Linked DNA regions of Xenopus tropicalis. The protein of the gene in region 2 purifies or fractionates together with the protein of the main gene of each other region. This does not show direct contact. Links are inferred from orthologs where the notes say so. Each region holds a gene or a part of one and is shown on either strand. Other genes may lie near its edges.

The links. The genes of interacting proteins can lie anywhere in the genome.
Region 1: the proteins of asb7 (region 2) and cul5 purify together in Homo sapiens (affinity purification with mass spectrometry; 6 studies listed by BioGRID and IntAct, counting the BioPlex papers as one, with this or other methods). This does not show direct contact. The link is inferred for Xenopus tropicalis from reciprocal best matches to the Homo sapiens genes ASB7 and CUL5.

What each region holds. Positions count from the first base shown.
Region 1 is NC_030678.2:159,948,272-159,951,923, reverse strand, and holds part of cul5 (cullin-5), read left to right. Parts: coding exon 1-33; intron 34-231; coding exon 232-355; intron 356-1,233; coding exon 1,234-1,409; intron 1,410-1,956; coding exon 1,957-2,118; intron 2,119-2,376; coding exon 2,377-2,495; intron 2,496-3,309; coding exon 3,310-3,433; intron 3,434-3,652. UniProt on the Homo sapiens protein: Core component of multiple cullin-5-RING E3 ubiquitin-protein ligase complexes (ECS complexes, also named CRL5 complexes), which mediate the ubiquitination and subsequent proteasomal degradation of target proteins.
Region 2 is NC_030679.2:115,577,117-115,580,768, forward strand, and holds part of asb7 (ankyrin repeat and SOCS box protein 7), read left to right. Parts: intron 1-3,136; coding exon 3,137-3,652. UniProt on the Homo sapiens protein: Probable substrate-recognition component of a SCF-like ECS (Elongin-Cullin-SOCS-box protein) E3 ubiquitin-protein ligase complex which mediates the ubiquitination and subsequent proteasomal degradation of target proteins.

The DNA.
Region 1 (3,652 bases), on a different chromosome or scaffold from region 2:
GAAATAGAAGAAAACATGGTGGAGTGGCTCAGGGTAACTATCACTTGAGCTGTTCAAACTGACATTAGACAGTGCCCAAACAGTGGGCACTGTAAATGGAGCAAGTTTAGGGAAACCCATAGTAGACTGATTGCAGGTAGCTAGTCGCTGGTAAAGTAAATATCTGTAGGGCAAGAATCTTTCACTGTGTAACATACTACATTTCTTTGTTCTGTTGTGTATATCTTTTAGGAGGTGGGCATGCCAGCTGATTATGTAAATAAACTAGCCAGAATGTTCCAGGACATCAAAGTATCAGAAGACTTAAACCAGGCTTTCAAAGAAATGCATAAAAATAATAAATTAGCCCTGCCAGGTAAGTTTGGAATTGGGTTTAAAACAATTGTTATTATTTCCTGGTATTTATATTGTGCTGACACTTTTCTGCAGTGCTTTACAGAGATTATACCATTCATATAAGGCCATGCCCCTAGGACACTAGGATCAGTTTTATCAGGAGCCAAAAGACCTGCCTGTTCTTTTTTTTTTTTTTTTTTTTGTGGGTGTGGGAGGAAACCAGAACTAGGGGTAGGCAGAAGGGGCACGTGCCTAGGTCACAGCTGAGAGGGGGAGCTAGAACCCTAGGCATATACCTCTGCTGCCTCCACTACCTTCAGCCCTGGGGGTCAGGTATGCTGAGTGAGGAGCTGTGCCATTGACTGAATGGTGGAGCAGAGATCAGTGGCAGCACCAGAAAATAGGTGAGAATGTTAAGAAAAAGAGACTTGCTGAGTAAGGGAGAGAGAGTTGCGACATGGAAGGGGGGTGGGTCGATAAATGAGATTTTCCCTTGGGTATCCTGGTGTGGTGGCCCTTCTATAAATGGAGGAAACCCATGGGGAGAATATGGTGCCCAAGCCGGAATCAAAATAAGGCCCCCACCCCAGTAAGGCCGAAGTGCTACTCGCTGAGCCCACCCTCATTATAAATATGACCATTGTTTATTTTTTGCCCTTACTTCCACTTCCATAATCAGGACCAAAAACACCTCATTTTCAGGCTGGTAAGCACTTGTATTGGGGGTTTTTTGTTAAATTGACAGTGTGTGGCACTTTTCACATGTCTAGTCCTTACTAGGACTAAAAGTTCTTTATACGGGGTATTTATCTGGATAGAGTAAATTAATTAACTATCTTCTTCTTCAACAGTGCATTTTATTTACCTGCTTTTTTTTTTTTTTTTAATTATGGCCAGCTGACTCTGTGAATATTAAAATTTTGAATGCCGGTGCTTGGTCACGGAGCTCGGAAAAGGTATTTGTGTCCCTTCCCACTGAGCTCGAGGACCTCATTCCTGAAGTAGAGGAGTTTTACAAGAAAAACCACAGCGGCAGAAAGCTTCACTGGCACCATCTTATGTCCAATGGCATTGTGAGTATCTGCTCTGCACGGCATATTAGTGAATTGAGTTGCTAAGGGCTTTCCATGTATAAAGCACTTAAAAAAAGAAAAAAAACACAGAAATTCCTAGTAAATCACTGTAATCGGTTCCTTTAAAAATTATGAATAAATTCAATTTTTTATGTTCAAATCCAGCTGCAAAAAAGTTCTTTCTTTCTGCATCATTTGAAATCCTGGCAGGGGAGGAGGGGCTAAAACATTGACGTTACAAATGGTAACAACTTCTCCACAGCTTGCAGGAACTACATAACCCACAATGCATTGCACTGTGATTTTCCTTTCCTTATTGACATCACATGTGCAGGGAATTGTGGGATTGGGAGGAAGCAGGCTAAAGGCAGCCTGAGGACAGGCAACTACTGTTACATTTTATTTGAGTCTCAAAGTAGTCAGCCAGATCATTAGGGTGTAATTTGTTATTGCAAAGTTTTTGGTGCTTTTTCAGAATCTCTCTCTCTCTTTGTATAATGGACCAGTCCTGTAATGTTGAACTGGATGGCACGCCACTGTTTTACAGATAACATTTAAGAATGAGGTTGGCCAGTACGACTTGGAAGTTACCACTTTCCAGCTGGCAGTTCTGTTTGCTTGGAACCAAAGGCCGAGAGAAAAAATCAGCTTTGAAAATCTTAAACTGGCAACAGAGTTACCTGATGCTGAGCTTAGGAGAACTCTGTGGGTAAGTGTAAATGTGTTAGTATCGGTGTGTGTCATTGGCTAAACTGAACCTGCATGGCTGTGAGTTGTTGCATGGTAAGCCAGCCAAATCATTGCCATGTACGTGTTCTATGTGGGATCCAAGTGTTTGGTTCTTAATCACCTGGGGGCCTGTTCAGTAAATTGCAGACTGTATAGGGGCAGAGGCACTCCAAGGCTGACTAGATTTTGGGTTGCCCTTGGCATAACTGCTTACAATTGTTTCATTTTCTCTGTTTAGTCTCTTGTAGCATTTCCAAAGCTGAAACGCCAAGTATTATCCTATGAACCGACGGTAAATTCCCCAAAAGACTTCACAGAGGGTACCCTCTTCTCTGTAAATCAGGAGTTCAGCCTAATGTAAGTCATGTTTACATGTTTAATGCTGCTTGGTATCTTGTTTAATAGCTGCTTCACTAAACACTGCTGAATGTCTGTGCACCTTGGGTGGATCTATAAGCATTCTACTTGCACTGCTCCGGCTTTCATTTACAGGGCAACTTTACCTTTATTTTGTCTAATGCAGATATCCATAGGTACATTATAAACTGTTTCCCCTAGCTTCTGTGTCAATCTGCCAGGTTCAGCTCTGTAAAAGCTTCTCTTGTTCTTAAGGTGGCCATACACATAAAGATCTGCTCGCCTGGCAAGGTCGCCAAGCGAGTGGCTCTTCTCCCGATATCCCCACCTACGGATGGGCAACATCGGGGAATTTAGGCTAATTTGGTTGTTTGGCCCTGGGGCCAAGCGATCGAATTATAATGACTGGAATAGGCGAGCCGATGCGGTCCCCAATCAGACTGAATTTTTTAAGCTGCAGAATCAGTCCAAGGGACCAATATTGCCAGCTTCAATAGGCAGGTTGGCCATAACCTTATCTCCTGCCTAGCCCTCCCTAAATGTGATCAAACCCTTACAAGCAGAAACTCTTGAGTGGTGACTTTGTGGCTCCATGGCCTTATGTTACCTTTGGCTTTGTCAGTCATTTGTGGCCTATAATGGGAATGTCCAGGAAAGTGGTGGTAAAACGTGCTTTTGCACTAGCACAATAATTGGAATCCCCCACTCTTCCCTTTACCCACAATCTGGCACAGTTAGACAGGAAGGTGCTCCCAATGAATCACTAAGTGCTACTGTTTTATCACTTCATCATGACTGTGTGTTCTAATCCTAGAAAAAATGGAAAGGTTCAGAAACGGGGTAAGATCAACTTAATCGGCCGCTTGCAGCTGACCACGGAAAGGATGCGAGAAGAAGAGAATGAAGGCATTGTGCAGCTAAGGATATTAAGGACACAGGTACAGTATGTCCTGGCTATTAGATGGGAGTCACAAAGGGAGCCATGTCCAACACTGACATTTAGGGCAGAGGTGCTGGCACGTTTTGCTCCCTGTGCTATTTACTAGCTCATAGGAAGGGGGGAGTAAAGCAGAAAAAAATACCCCACCATAGACTTTTATGATAGTTGGACTGATTCTGCCAGTATGGCATCTTTAATGTTCAGCTGTTGTGAGTAC
Region 2 (3,652 bases):
GCTTTTGCTGTCTGCTGTCCATTTCTGCAGTGGATCGGGGGGTGTTCCCTGTAAATAAAACAAAATGTTCTAAGAGACACTTGATATATGATTTGTTGCTTGGAAATGAGACAGGCCTCAGAGGAGCGTGCTTAAAATCCTTACGCCTGTCGTGCCAGACCACAGGAAATCCGCTGATCGGCAGATGTTCCTACACATGCTTTCTCTTAAGAAGAAAATGAAAGCAATGAAGAGAAAATGTGGAGATGTGAGAAAGACATGTTGGGGTGGAAAGCCCCGTTGCAACAACTCGTGTACTAGAATATTTCATCTTCTGCAGCTTGAGTTCTGGCTCTTAGGAGAAATCAATCAATCTTGTATGACATCCAGTTAGACTCTATAGGGACCATTTACTGTCAGATTTTTTTTCCATTTGTATTTTAAGCGCTACAAGGCGCAGAAAAAAAGCCACAACTTTTCTGAGATTTACTATGCATCAAAACGGCTAAAAATCTGAATTTGTCAATTCACCAGCTAAAACTTGCCCAGATCATGTAGAAGTCAATGGCAGATGTCCCTTCCCTGGAGGATCCTTCTTTTGTTTCAAAACTTTAGAGGGTTTCAGATTTTTTATGCTGGTTTCTTGTGCAACAATTCAGAAAAGTTGCAGTTTTCATGCGATTAGTCAAAAAATTCAGAATTTTCACAACTTTTCTTCAACCTTTCCAGCATGGACATGTGTAGGCCTTTTCACCAGTGATTCCCTCTATTGCCAGAGGAAAAGCTTTTCAGGGAGCAGAGATGTATCGGTGGGTGACTAATCTCAGCATGGGGCTGCAAACATTGTTAGAAAATGTTACATTAAAGGAAATGTAACCTTTAAAAGAACTCAGAGTGCACTTCTAAGCATTTTTGATGATTCCAGGATATGAAGAAACCTGCTAATACTGTGTAACAACGGCACTTCCTGCTGGTCAGTAGAACTGTTCTGATGTTGATCTCTTGGAAAGACATGAGCAGAGCAGCATTAGAACAGTTCTCTGTTTTTCTTCTGACATGTTCTTCTGCCTATATCAAGGCTGGGAAACTGACCAGCAGACGGCACTAAGTTTATTATATTTGCAGTTTACATTTTTCTTCATGTCCTTGTGTAAAAAGTGCTTAAAAGTGCTTATGGGGAATAGATAACCAAAAAGGAAAGGTTATGGCCAATACAGGGCAAAGGAGCAACAAGTGCAACATTGTGTTTTCCTTAACAGAGAGGTGCCTTAAAATGTCAAGAGTCAACGTGTCTTTTAGGAGCAAGTATATTTCTATGTAGTTTCCATTTGGTTTATTTTTCCAAAGTTTCAGCAAACATTGGTACCTAATAGAATTGCTCTTTCCCTTGTCAATCCCCCATGTGATGAAATCATGCTCATGTGTACAAGGGATATTTGAACCATTCTGCCTGGTTTTAGGCAGGCAGTGACCATGTGAAATAAGTGCTTCCAAAGGGAATTCTGGTGAGTGCAATCTGTCCTCCATATAGATGCACTGGGGCTCGGGGCAGGAGAGCAAAAATATAGTTGGTGAAAGGATAGTTTGTTTTTCTGCTGACATGGTCAGTGATTGATATGAATCTCTTTAAGGTTTTTAGAGCATTTACCTGTACCCCAACCACTCAAATCTCTGTGCCTGTCCAAACAAACATTGTGTATGTGGATAAACCTTTACTGGGATAAAGGAGAATTTATGAAACTGGCCAGGGCTGCTTATTTTATTATTAATATCAAGTATATATAAAGCCTCAGCATATTCCCATGTGATGATTTTCGACATATCCCTGCACAATGCATTGTTTATAACACAACCTTCCAAAACCCAATGCTCTAAACCCCACAGTAAACATACATGCTACATTCTTTATAAGAAATGTGTTGTGCCGGGAGTATACCTAACTATATGCAGCCTCAGAGCAGGTACACTTCATATGTTCTTATTTCATTGATCTGTAACCTTACTGATATAAACTCTGCTATTTCCAATGCACTTTGTTTGGACGTAAAGGACATGTCAACCCCAAAAATGTTTTGTCTAATAAAAGAAAACTTAATTCTAATCAACTTTGCAATATACATTTATGACATATTTGTAATGGTTTTTGAGTTATTTGTATATATAATTGCTATTAAAAGCAGTGTTTGCCTGTCCTTTCTATTCTCTGCCCTGGCGGCTGTGGCGTTTGAAACAATCTAACAAACGTCAGCAGATTTAAGAGACCTGTCTAGCTGGAGGAGCCTGGCACTTGCAACATTGTTTAAAAAGTAACAACCAGGAGTTCATCAAATTCTGCTTTCTGTAGCAATTACATTTACAGATAACTTTTATAGCACTAAAAATTTTTAATTGATATTGCAAAGTTGCTTAGAATTATGTTTTTTTTTATTGGGCAAAACATTTTTTTGGGGTTGACATTTCGTTTACATTCACAATCTTCCAATATCCCCACCTACGAGTTGGGTGATATCGGGTTTATTAGATTGTTTGGCCCTGGGGCCAAGCTATTGAATTAGAATGTCGGGTATAGGCACAGTTGCCAATCCGACATAAAAACCAAACCTCCCTGAGTGAGATCTGGGCGATCTCTTAGACGGGCTGATAAGCCGCTGGATCGGTCTAAAGGACCAATGTCGGCAGCTAGAATCGGTCCGTGTATGGTCACCCCCATTCAGGGTGCATCTAGATGAAGGACAGACCACATTGCGCACAATTCTCTTCCTGAAGCACTTGTCACAATGACCCATGTGACCCAAGTCCAACACAGGTTTTATGTAATCCACATATAAATCTGTATTTTATGTTTTTGTTATTTCTCTTTTCATGTTGTTGTTCTCTTGTTGCCTATCCTATGCCATATCTTTAAAAATAGAATAACAAAAAAACTCTGAAAACCAATTAATGTAAAGTTGTCTTCCAAGCACTCCTGCAATTTACAGTTATTTTTTGTATTTCAAGTTTTTAAGATATTAGCAGTTTTAGCTATTATTATAATAAATTTGATACAACAGTGCCACCTGCTGTTCATTTTGTTATTATGGTTTTGCTTGGGATTTCTTCTGACTTTTTTTTTTAATACGAACTTGCAGTTTTATTCTTTTTGTTTTATTTTATGCAGCCGACCCCACAGTGAAAGATTTGATTGGTGGTTTTACAGCACTGCATTATGCCGCTATGCACGGACGAGCACGGATAGCCCGCCTCATGCTTGAATCGGAGTATCGCAGTGATATAATAAACGCTAAGAGCAATGATGGTTGGACGCCATTGCACGTGGCTGCTCACTACGGCAGGGACTCTTTTGTTAAGCTGCTACTTGAGTTCAAAGCTGAGGTTGATCCCCTGAGCGACAAAGGCACAACTCCTCTGCAACTTGCCATAATCCGGGAGCGCTCTAGCTGCGTAAAGATTCTCCTGGACCACAATGCCAATATTGATATTCAAAACGGGTTCCTGCTGCGCTATGCTGTTATAAAAAGCAATCACTCCTACTGCCGAATGTTCCTGCAGAGGGGGGCCGACACGAACTTAGGCAGACTGGAGGATGGTCAGACCCCCCTCCATCTGTCAGCCCTGAGAGATGATGTTCTTTGTGCGAGAATGTTGTACAGTTATGGTGCAGACACGAACACTA